Ovis aries: one gene and its partners. The protein of the gene in region 2 interacts with the protein of the main gene of each other region in a pairwise test. Links are inferred from orthologs where the notes say so. Each region holds a gene or a part of one and is shown on either strand. Other genes may lie near its edges.

Evidence for each region.
Region 1: the proteins of AGTRAP (region 2) and PIMREG interact in binary tests that used the Homo sapiens proteins (3 or more experiments, as listed by UniProt). The two-hybrid records come from large-scale screens. The link is inferred for Ovis aries from reciprocal best matches to the Homo sapiens genes AGTRAP and PIMREG.
Region 3: the proteins of AGTRAP (region 2) and PITPNC1 interact in binary tests that used the Homo sapiens proteins (3 or more experiments, as listed by UniProt). The two-hybrid records come from large-scale screens. The link is inferred for Ovis aries from reciprocal best matches to the Homo sapiens genes AGTRAP and PITPNC1.

The regions. Positions count from the first base shown.
Region 1 is NC_056064.1:25,303,625-25,307,664, reverse strand, and holds the start of PIMREG (protein PIMREG), read left to right. Parts: upstream 1-1,222; 5' UTR 1,223-1,257; intron 1,258-1,782; 5' UTR 1,783-1,818; coding exon 1,819-2,112; intron 2,113-3,207; coding exon 3,208-3,503; intron 3,504-3,995; coding exon 3,996-4,040. UniProt on the Homo sapiens protein: During mitosis, may play a role in the control of metaphase-to-anaphase transition.
Region 2 is NC_056065.1:41,204,293-41,208,254, reverse strand, and holds the start of AGTRAP (type-1 angiotensin II receptor-associated protein), read left to right. Parts: upstream 1-1,143; 5' UTR 1,144-1,218; coding exon 1,219-1,353; exon of another isoform or gene 1,354-1,374; coding exon of another isoform or gene 1,375-1,401; intron 1,402-3,962. UniProt on the Homo sapiens protein: Appears to be a negative regulator of type-1 angiotensin II receptor-mediated signaling by regulating receptor internalization as well as mechanism of receptor desensitization such as phosphorylation.
Region 3 is NC_056064.1:49,176,064-49,180,041, reverse strand, and holds the start of PITPNC1 (cytoplasmic phosphatidylinositol transfer protein 1), read left to right. Parts: upstream 1-1,160; 5' UTR 1,161-2,049; coding exon 2,050-2,097; intron 2,098-3,978.

The sequences.
Region 1 (4,040 bases), on a different chromosome or scaffold from region 2:
CTGTGCTTAGCGGTTCAGTCGTGTCCCATAGACTTGCGACCCCATAGACTATAGCCTGCGAGGCTCTTCTGTCCATGGGATTCTCCAGGCAAGAACACTGGAGTGCGTTGCCATTCCCTTCTCCAGGGGATCTTCCCAACCCAGAGATCAAACCCATGTCTCCCTCCTCTCCTGCATTGACAGGCAGATTCTTTAATCACTGCACCACGGCCAGGTGCATAGTAAGTGACTCGTTTGAATCGGTCTCCTCCCATGGGAAAAGTCCCTTTACCAGGGTTTGGGGGAGATGACCCGGAGGTGAAGAACAGAGTTAATGACTGACCTTCAAGAGACCCATAAGTTGAAACTCGGGAATGGAGCCGGGGGTGGGGGGGTGGGGGGGGGGGGGGGGGGGGGGGGGGGGGGTGGTGTATGGGGGGAGGAAAGGTTCCAGGTGAGCAGGGCGGTGAGGAAACGGAGTAGGGACTACTTTGAGGGGGAAGGAGAGGGGGCTTTCTAAATGGTGAATTTTTTAGCTCGGATGCTAAAGGGAAGGGGGGAGGCACTCAGCTGGATAGAGGGGATGGTCAATGGGACAGGGTTGGGGGTCGTACTTGGAGTGGGGGTAGGGGGCTGGGGGATGCACTCAATCTGTCCCCTCTCCCAAGATGGGTTTTCCTGGGGATCCGTGCGGATGGCAAGTTTGGGGAACTGAAGGGCAGTCTCAGGAAGGCAGAGGGTCACGAGGGAAGTTTGAAACAAAGTTTCCACAGCAACCCAAGGCTCCGAGTTCCCAGCCCAGGCTCTTTCTGACAAAACCACTGAGACCTTCAGGCAGGATGGGAGGGACCCTTAGGAGCCGGGGACCCCGCCTCGCCCCGCCCAGTCAGGCCAGCCAGAACCCTTTATAAGTTAAGGATGGGGTCCAGTGGCCCGAGACCGAGGGTCAGTAGGTGGCGCCGGGGCTGAGCCGGCGCGGGCTACGGATTCTGCAGGAAACTCGGGCGGGACCCATAGATACAAAGGGTCCTCTACGCCCGGCTCCCTGTCCAGCGGGCCTCCAGAGGATGAATGGGGATGGCTAGGCCAATCCGAGAGCAGGATTCACAGCCGCTGGCGCAGGGGCCAATCGGATCCCTGGCGTGGCCGCGAGGCGGGGACAGAGCCAATCAGCTGTGAGGACAGGACCAGGGGGGCGGATCCGCGCGGTGTTTCAAATCGACTGGATGGGCGAGGAGCAGCTATGCACGTCGTCTGGTCAGCCTCGGGAGCTGTTGGGTGAGTGCGGGCCGGGGCGTGGTGGGGTTCTGTTCAGAAGGGACGGGAGCAGGTGGGGTGGGGGACCCCTAGTTAGGACGGGCACGGCATGTGGGGCTTCTGGGTACAGCCGGATGGACATCGGGGTGTCTGGTCAGCCCACCTCCGCGCATTGGGTCAAGGCGAGCTCGTGAAAGAGTCCCTAGCCCAGCCTGGGCCAAGTGCTGAGGCTCAGCGACGGCCGGCGGGTCCTGACTGCCTCCCTCCCAGCCTGAGGCAGATAACGGAAAGTAGCCTGGGATGAAAAGACAGTTAATTCAGACACTCACAGCAAGGGACGCCTTGCTGGCCGGCCTTGTCCAGACTCTGCCCTCTCCCGGGCCTCTATGACCTCACTTCTAGGAAGAATTCCTCCCCACGGTTGACAAGCGACCCACCCCATGGGCCCCAGGACTGGAATCTCTTTCTCTGGTACCCGGTGTCTCACTGGATCCTGGGAGTGGGATGGGGGATACCCTGCTGATCTCCCATTGATCTCCTCCCCAGGGTCTGTGGGAACAGAACAGACTCTTGAACAGTCAGATGGCTTCTCGGTGGCCAGCTGTGGGGGCTTCCCTGCGTCGGAGGTCTCTCCAGAACCAGGAACGGTTGGAGGAGAGCGAGGCCCTGCAGCCTGTAGCCGGCCACCTGGACACCTCCAGCGGGGCCCTGGGCTCCCTGCGCAGACAGTTCCAGAGGCGGCTGCCCCTGAGAGCAGTCAGCCTCAACCTCGGGGTGGGCCCCTCCTGGAAACGCCTGGAAACCCCAGAGCCAGGGCAGCAGGGCCTCCAGGCTGCAGCTCGCTCAGCTAAGAGCACCTTGGGTGCCATGTCCCAGGTAATGCCAAGTATGGATGTAGGGCTTCCTTGATGCTGAAAAATGGCTGCCCCCAAAGATCTCCCAAGAATATAGACTCTGTGAAGACAAGGTCCTTGATTTATTAGTGTCCCCAGCTCTCCAAACAATTCCTGGTACACAGTAGTGCGTGCACGCTAAGTCGCCTCAGTCATGTCTGACTCTTTGTTACCCTATGGACAGTAGGAGCCAGGCTCCTCTGACCATGGGATTCTCTAGGCAAGAATACTGGAGTGGGTTGCCAGGCCCTCCTCCAGGGGACCTTCCCAATCCAGGGATCGAGCCCATGTCTCATATCTCTTCTGCATTGGCAGGCGGTTTCTTTACCACTAGCGCCATCTGGGAAGCCCATGGCACCCAGTAGATGCTCAACAAATAGCTGAATGAGTGAATGAAAACAGGGTTGTGGAGGAAACAGAACATCATGAGACAAGATGAAAGAGCTATACTGTGATAGGAAGTTGCTAATTAGCAAAGGGCTAATGGTGGGGGAACACCAAAAACAAGCTTAGTCAGTGAAGGTGACTGGAGGAGGTGACTCCATGGAATTCGCCCAGGAAAGGGGAGGTATGAGGAGGTATGAGGAGTGTACAAGACAGGTGAACTAGTCCAGACCCAGGGTTAAAGGAGAGCAAGACGCTGAAAAGAACTGGCAGGAACTTAGTCTGGGTATGGCTGGAGGACAGAGAGCAAGACAGGGCGTGAGAAGGTAGGGCACGTGCCGAACATGTTTAGAATTATTTCACTGTCTCCTGGGGGTAGGTGTGGTCTCCCCCAGGCCTCCCCTTTGAGTCTGGGTCAATCTGTCCAGAAAGAGGGTTTGGATTTAGACCAATGCAGGCTCCATGAGCCAGAGAGGTTATGCTGCCGCCCATGCACTTATCCCTGGGGGCCTGAGCTGGGTCCCTGCTATGGACCTGTGGCCTCATGGACTCATCTGCATCCCTCACCCTGAGCCTAAAGGCTTCCTGGGTCTGTAGGACCAGCTGGTGGGCCGAGGGGTTGGGGGATGCCCTGAGAAATCGGGTAGCTCACTCCTGGCTTGTCCACTCTGACTTTTCCATGCACTGGTCACAGAGGATCCAGGAGTCCTGCCAAAGTGGCACCAAGTGGCTGGTGGAAACCCAGGTGAAAGCCAGGAGGAGGAAGAGAGGGGCCCAGAAGGGCAGTAGCCCCCCAGCTCGCAGCCTGAGCCAGAGGAGCACCCGGCTATCTGTGGCTGCCCCTGCCCACTCAACCCTGGACCCCCGGGAGAAAGAGTACCACCCCCTGTCTGTCCAGATGGGCCCCCATGCCCACCCTTGGCAACGGTCCAGAAGGGAGGCTGCCTTCCGGAGCCCCTACTCCTCGGCAGAGCCCCTCTGCTCCCCTAGGTAAGTGGGGTAGTGCCTGCCCCTCAAATGCTAACTGGGCCCTGGGGGCTACTGAGCACCTTCAGGACACCCTGAGCTGAGCCACATCCATGCTCTGGCTCAGCTCTGTGCCCCACTATGGGGGACCTGGGGAGGTCCTTTTGGGCCTGAGTTTCCCCACCTGCCAAAGGAAGAGGCGAGCTTAACTCTAAGAGTATCACAGTCACCCAAGCTCCACCAAAAGTTTTTGAAGCCACCTGGCAGGGTCGGGGGGTGGAGGCTTACCTGTCTGCAGGATCATCTATCCTTGACAATGGCCTCAGCTGTTCTCTGCCATCTGCTCCGAGCCTCTCTGACGACACTTCCTAGAATGGGGGTCTGGGGTGATCAGTTCCCAGCCCACACTGGTCATCTCTGGGGCCTGTACACCAGGTCCCAGTGCTGGGTTAGAATAGGCTCCTGCCACAGGTTTCCAGCTAGTGACTGATATGCACAGCTTTTCCTTCTGTCCAGTGAGTCCGACAGTGACCTGGAGCCCGTGGGGGCAGGAATCCGGCA
Region 2 (3,962 bases):
TAGCAAGTCCTGATCAAGGGCTGTCTGCCAGGCAATGTTCTAAACATTTTTACATATTAACAAATCCTTATTAACAAATTCAAAATAACCATCCTTCAAGGAAGATACTATTATTTCTCTCATTTTACGGATCAGAAAACTGAAGCACAGAGAGGCAAAGTGACTTGCTCAAGTAGAACCAGTAAGTGGACAAAGTTAGGACTCAAACTCTTTTCTCTGGTCCAGCTAGTCCTCTGGGCTCTGAATCCCAACAATCGTGCCCAGTGTAGCTATCTGTCCGGTCTCTGAAGCTTACCAGCTCTCTGTTACTCTGGCAGATGTGCTATTCTGCTCAGGGGGCTGGACAGCTGTGTCTCCAAAAGGGACATTCAAATAGGCCAGCGGACTCCGCGACCTTGCAGAAGACCCCACTGCTGCTGCTGCTAAGGCGCCTCAGTCGTGTCCGACTCTCTGCAACCCCATAGACGGCAGCCCGCCAGGCTCCCCCGTCCCTGCGATTCTCCAGGCAAGAACACTGCAGTGGGTTGCCATTTCCTTCTCCAATGCATAAAAGTGAAAAGTGAAAGTGAAGTCGCTCAGTCGTGTCAGACTCCACACCCACCTGGAAAACTCCGCTCTTTGTATCTAGAGTCTGTATCTTGATAGGATCTTAGGACCCACCCAGCCAGTCTTTCAGGTTTCCACGTGGTCTCTCCCCTCCTGGAAATAAGAATAAGCACTCAGCGGGACAGACCCAAGGGGATCCCAACAGTCTTGAATAAGTCTTCCTTACCTTTAAAGTAAGTGTCAGTATTTTTTCTTCAAACATGAATTAGTTCATTCATCCTCAGAAGGATTCTATGAGGTAGGTAACCGTCTTCACTTTCACTGGGGAAGGAGGGAGGAGAGACTGTGCCCTCAGGGATGAGACACCAGCTGTTACCACATCTGCAGATTGTACTTGGAGGTTCCCCCAAGTTCTCCTGGCTGCAGGTGGTCCCGTCAGCCCACCTGCTGGGATTTTAACTCGGCGAGATATTGCGCCCTTTGCGACACAAATCTGGATATTCTCCAGCCGCCCGCCACCCCGCCCCCGCCCCCGCCCCCGGCCCCGCCCCCGCCCCGGCCCCGGCCCGCCCCCGCCCCCGTCCCCGGCCCCGCCCCGTAACTACCTGGGCAGTGGCGCAGTGAAGGCTCAAGCAGCACGACGCCGTCTCCTAGATACCGGGCCGTCGTCACATGACCTACTCACGTGACCCCCCCCCCACAGCCCAGCTGGGGTTGGAGCTCTGGCAAAGGGCAGCCGGCGGGGCGGGGCTGGGCAAGTTTGTTTCCCGAGTTCGGAGACCAGGAGCCCCCGCGGTTGTGGCGCAGGTGCTGTCCGGTTGGGTCGCGATGGAGCTGCCAGCCGTGAACCTGAAGGTGGCGATGGGCGGGGCGGGTCTCCCGGAGCGTGTTGGGTATTTGCGCTTTTAGTAGGTGATTTTAGAGGTGAGGATTTTAGAGGTAGAGGACCGAGAATCTGGGGAAAGTGGAGTGGTGGGGAGAAAGAGAACGAACAGAGCCCAGGTGTAAGGAGGTGGGCGGACAGACCATACCAGGAAGACAGATCCAGAAGGCCAGCAGGAAAGACCGAGAGGGAGCTGGAGGAGGGAAGCAGCCGTCTCTTCCCTAAGACCGGTTCAGCTGGGAGCGCTGAGCCCCTGAGGCTCGCTTTGGCCTGCGCGCCCAGAATTTCTCTGGAGAAAGAGGAGAGCGTGGTGGGGAGGGACCCAAGGAGAGCCCGAGGCTGGACTTGGAGGCAGGACACCTGCCTTCCACCGAGAGAGGGGTAAAGCTTTCACCTGGACCCCCAACACTGCCCTTACCGCCTCTCTTGTTGGGAAGATCAAGTTAAGGAAATCAAATGATCCCAGACAGATGGTTTTTCAGAGTTGATAGATTCAACGTCTTTATTTCTTAAGCAACACAGACACCAATAGAATTTACTCAAAAGCAGAATCCCCCAACTTTGCACATTTAGGAAAACACTGTAGGTCGCTGGGGTGTCTTCATTTCCTGAGCTGTAAGAATGCCAAAGGCTGTTCTTCTTTTTCTCCCCGCCCTCCTCCAGCCCAGTGTTTCTTGGCTGGGTTTGCCACTGAGAGGCTGAAGCCTTTAGCTTTGGTCAGAAAGGTTTTAGCCTTGGACCAGACCTGCCATCTGCGGCCTAGGTACAGTTTCCTTTGAGATTGTATGCAGGAGTACCCTCTTATTCACCCTTGACAAAGCATTATGCACCCATGGTGTCTGGTCCTAAAGTAAGAGATAGATGACTACAGAACAATACATCATCCATATTTGGATTATTAGACATGGTCTGTGTTGTGACTTCACGTGGGCACATTTCCTTAATATTGAACACTTGCTTCAGCAGACCTCTCCGAGGCTTCCAGTCAACTGCTGCAGGGGGAGAGATGGCTGTGACAAGGGAATGGGCTTGGATTGAAGGTTTAGCAGGGAAGAAATTTACACGAGGGCAACTGAGGTTCATTGGTATCAACATTCACTCTGTTCCAGGCTGTGTGCAGTTAATGCCGACTACCTTTTCTCTGATTAGAGACTTGCCTAAAATAATTATTAAGGGGGAAGGAGGAAAGGGACAGAGGAGCAGGAACTGACGAGGGAGTGAGCCCTAATTCTTAGGGCGTCTGTGGTGTGCCGGGTTATTTATTTAGTCGTATCAACCTTCTGAGATTTTTGTAGCTGAGCCAACTTCAGCTCAGACCAGATAGGTAACTTGTCAAGGCCCCACAGAGATTAAGTGGCAGAGTCAGAATTTGAACCCATCACGGTCAGACTTCAAAGCTCTGTCTTTTCCTGGCCACCATTAGTTAGGGCCAACTTCTGCTTTGACAGTTAGTGCCCAGTGGGAGGGCTTAGTCTGTTTGTGGCTTTTTTTTTTTTTTTTTTTGGAGAAACTTTGTGGGCCTCACAGGCCACACGTGACCACAGATGTGAGCTTTGCCGGCTTTCACTGCCCACAGTGAAATAGCTGGTCCTTTCTTTGACTTGGGAAATAAAACACCATATCTCTAAGGGTCTTAGCTGCTACCAATCAGAGACAAGTAAGTGCTGAGAGGTCGTGAACAGCTAGGGTTGCCAGGTGACATTGAGGACATCCAGTTGAGTTTGAATTTCATATCAACAATGAATAACTTTTTAATCTAAGTATGAAAAGTGAAAGTCATTCAGTCGTGTCCAACTCTTTGTGACCCCAGGGACTGTACAGTCCATGGAATTCTCCAGGCCAGAATACTGGAGTGGGTAGCCTTTCCCTTCTGCAGGGGATCTTCCCAACCTAGGGATCGAACCTAGATCTCCCACATTGCAGGAGGATTCTTTACAGCTGAGCCACCAGGGAAGCCCCAGGATACTGGAGTGGGTTATCCTATCCCTTCTCCAGTGGACCTTATATCCCAGGCAATATTTGGAACAGTCTAGAAAATTATTCATTATCTGAAATTAAAGATTAACTAGGGGTTCTGTTTTTGTTGTTGTTTTTTCTGGCCTCCCACAGGAGTCTAAGTGGGCTATTCTGAGATCAGAACCCCTTGGGAGCTCAGAAAATGCCCAACCCCCCAACCCTGCACTACCCTTGCCCTCCTTTCACACATTCCTGGGGTATTGGCTCAGTGCCTGCTTGTGCCCAGCCCACCCACAGTAGGCAGTGGTGCCAGGTGAACAGAAGCAGCTGCCCCGGGCCCTCCAGGTAGTTCCTAACCCAATGCCACACATGAGGCAAGTCCTGAGCTGAAGGAACGTCATTGTGAGAGTTTAGAAAGTTCTAGACTTGGGTTCATGAGGGCTTGTGAGAAAAGGCCCTTGGGAGGAGGGTGCAGGGGGTTAGTATAGCATGAGGGTTAAGAATTCCGGAACCTGACTGCACAATAGTCAGGGACTGCCTTGTCTCGGGGCTTCCCAGGTGGCTGAGTGGTAAAGAA
Region 3 (3,978 bases), on a different chromosome or scaffold from region 2:
AGCTTTTGTTATCATGTTCACACAGAAATTCTCTTCAGCCATCTGGATGATTTTAGCCACAGCCCGCCATAGCAATTAATTACTTACTGCTCATAATTTTAAATACTGTAATATGGAGGCCATCTGCATTGCCATCCAAAGCCCTGTGAGGAGGATCTGTAGATCCTGTAGGATCTTAGAGCACAAGTATTTTTTTCTTTTCCAAGAAAAGATGATGCTTGCAGGTTATTCTGCAAAGAGGCAACTGATGCATTTTTCATCCAGCACTTTTCAGAAAAACAAGCTTAAAAATACCAGACAAATGAAAAACAGACTTCAGCAGTTACATGCAGCTTCCAGAGAAACTGAAGAATGTGCCTCTTGTGGTTAAAATGAGGGATCTGTTTAATATGGATGAAATACCAACACTCCAGGCATTTTCATTGACATTTCATTGTGACTTTTTGAACTTGGGAGTGCTGACAGGAAAACCTATTCTTGCTGCTCTGCGAAGCCTGCAGTCAGACTGCAGAGCAGGGCCAGGAGAGGTAAAAGGCTATGTCCCCGTTCACGTTTCCCCTGGTTGTGTGTCTTTCCTTGTGGATTTCATTTTAATTTACCGTGTTGCACTTTGCTGTTTCTGCATTCCTGCTCTGAAACCAGTTAGGAAACCAGGCACAGGTTTGCTCTTTTGCTCCCAAATCCCGTTGCCTCTCCAGCGCTGGACTTGTTTACTGGACCAAAGTGAAAACGCACTCGGGTGGGCATTTGTTAAACAAACAAACAAACACCCCCCTTCCCCCCCCACACACAAAAACCGTTTCTAAAGGTCAAGGGACACACTCCTGTACCTTGGACCCAGAAGCTACCCAGAGTGGCTGGACAGAGCACCGTGGCACCCGGGGTACATCTGAGAACAAGACTCAAAGGGTTTCAAGGAGCCGACAGGAGCCCCCTCTTTTCCGATCCTTCCCAGCGCCGGCCGGCCTCGGCTCTCCGGGGCAGCCCCGCCGTCTGGCAGCAGCCCGGGAGAGACATGCTGTTTTGTTTAAATCCTCCACATTCTTTGCCATTTCCCCATTGGCCGGATGGGGCTACCCTCCCCGCCGCGACGGCTGCTGATGTCAGCTGCGCTCGCTCCTCCCGCACCCACCTCCCCAGCCCAAGGCACACCGCAGCTCGGCGCCGACTCTCCGGCCCCGGCGAGGTGGCTGCAAACTCGCGGGCACGCACGGCGCTCGGGGATCCGGACTCGGGGGAGGGGACGCGCGCGGAAGGCGCCAGCTTCCTCCCGCCCGCCCGCCCGCCCCTCGCAGGCGCGAGCCGAGGTCGGAGGAACCCGGAGCCCCAGCCCCGCAGAAGCCGAGCGGCCGCGGCGGCGGAGGCTTCCCTTTTCTCACCCAGCGAGACCCTGGAGCGCCTCGGCGACCGGCCTTAAAAAGAGAAGGAAATCTTGTTTACCGCCGGGGAGCACAGCCGTTCGAGCCTTTGTCTGAAAAGTCAGCATCTCTGGCTCTGGCTGCAACGTGTGCTCGGTGACATTCGCCTTGGGAAGACCGGCCGGAAAAGGGGGCGGGGGGAAGTCGCCAGGTTAAGATCTGGTTTCAGAGGCGGATCGAGAGGGTGACTTTTGTGTATTCCGTGTAATTTTGGGGGACCTCGTGGTTTGTTGTTGTTTTTTCTTTTTTTTTTTCCCTCCGTCGCCCGCCGACGGGCATGTCCTGATCTGGCTTCCGCTCCTGCTGCCCGGGGCTGCCGATCAGATTGGTTTCCAGTGGGTCTCCCTCCCTCTCTGACTTTGCAACACCGCGTTCCAGGCGGGTCGACCTCGGCTAGGAAGGAGGCGGGGGAGCCGCGAACACCCGGACCCAAACCTTGACATGCTCTCGGGCGGAGAGGAGGAAGCCAGGAACTGAGCGCACCGCCCGGGGGGCTGCCTCGCCGACCGGCTCCAAGCACGGGGCTCCCGGCGCTCAGCTCTGCGCCTGGGCGGCAGCCTTGTTGATCTGGGGGTGCCCCCACCCCTGCCCCGCCCGCTTCCTGCCTCGGAGGTCCGTGGCCGGCAGGATCATGCTGCTGAAGGAGTACCGGATCTGCATGCCGCTCACCGTGGACGAGGTAAGCGCCGCGCCGGGCCTGGCCTCGCCCGCTCCCGGTCCCCGGCTCCGGGGCGCCGCTTCCCGCCGCCGCTTCCCGCCAGCGGGTCCACTGCGGACGGCGGGGAAAACCCTGGTGGAACATTGCCTCCCAAATCCGGAGGCTGGAGGGGGAGGAGGAGGGGAGTTGCTGCTTCCACTTGTCACCCCAGCAAGGAGAGTAACGTTGGGTGGGGCGGTGGACTGCAGGTGGGTTCTTTGGGGGCATCCAGAATTCGGATAGCTGAGGATCAGAATGCGCCAAAGGGAGTTGGTCGTCCCCTCCCTCCAATTAAGAAAATAAAAAAAAGCAAACCCAAGAGCTCCAAGCACACCCTGGTAGCGCAACCCTGGGGGGTGTGCATCCCGTTCCTGTCGTGGACCCGGGTTCCCCTCCCGCCCACCACTAGAAGGTTGGGGTAAGGGAGCAGTCCTTCGCCCTTGGGATTTGGAGGGCCCGGGTCCCGCTTGGGGGCACCTCGGAATCCTAGGGGAGGGGGGGTCCATTTGGACTCAGACCCCTTGCCATCGCCGCCAGCCTGGGCGCCGCTCCAGCCACGCCCGTGCTTCGAGGCTCGGGACCCTGGCCTCGCCTCGACCTTTCTCTAACCGCCTGGCTGGGAAACTTTGTGCGTGTCTTGTTTCTCGGGCCGCGGGGAGAGCAGTCTGCGGGCGAGCGGGGAGCGGCGGGGACTGCGGCGCGGCCACAGAGGGGCGCTGTAGCACGCGGGTGCCGGCCGGGCCCCCCGGCTCTCGGGTCCCCCAGCTGTAGGGCTAGGGGCGGGGGACTCTTCCTGGACTCGTCCTCCACCGGCCGCTCAGGTTGCTTTCCCCGGATCCGCACACCTCGTCCCCGCCAAGCGGCAAGCTCTATCATTCAGGAAGCGATGACTCAGTGAGGATTATTCAGGCCCGGCTTCCCTTTATTCCCCCTCTGCCTCCCTACCTTTTTGGTGATTTCACAATTGCTTAGCGCCTGTCCGGGGACTGCGAGGGAGCTTGAAGCCAATCAGGGCAATTTGAAACTTAACTAATGTGGTTTGGTGTGACAACACGCGTGATACCGACGACCCAAACCGTATTTATGTTTAAATACAGTGCCCTTAATCTCTCACTGCTTTGGGGAAGGGGCAAGGTGCTTTGGGAGAGAAAAAGATTTTTAACTAAGAACGTGGTGTGCTCCCAAGGGACTTGTCTGCATGTGTCATCTGGAGCAAGTGTTAAGACCCACAGTACACTCCAAGGCAAGATCAAAGTAGCTCCGCGTTTGCAAAATGTATCCGAGGGAGGCTGACTGCCAAAAAGAGATCAGCCCCCCCATCCAGTGAACACCCGAGCAGCGCGGTTCTGTGACTTTGGAGGAGACAGCATTTGAGCAAGGTCCTTGAAGGATGGATGCCATGTAGGTAGGCAGACCGTGTACATCCTGTGGAGAAGCAGCACCCAGCTCTGTGGACAGTGGGGCGGGGAATGAATGAAACTGGTTAACCAAAGCAATTTTAGGAATTGTTGAGATCTTCCCAACCCCTGAGTCGCTAAGCTGGAGTAGTTCAGCTTGGAGGTATGTCTGCTTCCCCTCCATCTCCTCCTAATGACTTTTTTTTATTGAGAGGAGTTTGGGATCTCCGGGCAATGCTGGTATGGCATGAAATGCCCAGCAAGGCAGGTGATAGTCAAGAAAGTAGCCAACTCTAGAATCATCTATACCATCTGCGACGTCTCTTTATTCTGGTTGGTTCCCTTTTCAGACTTTGCCTTGAATCCTCAGGCACCACCGCTCTTTGTACACTTTTTTTTTTTTGGTACTGAAATAACTAGTTTTGGTGTGAAGTAATCTTGAGTGGTATAGGTGGAGGCCCTGCTT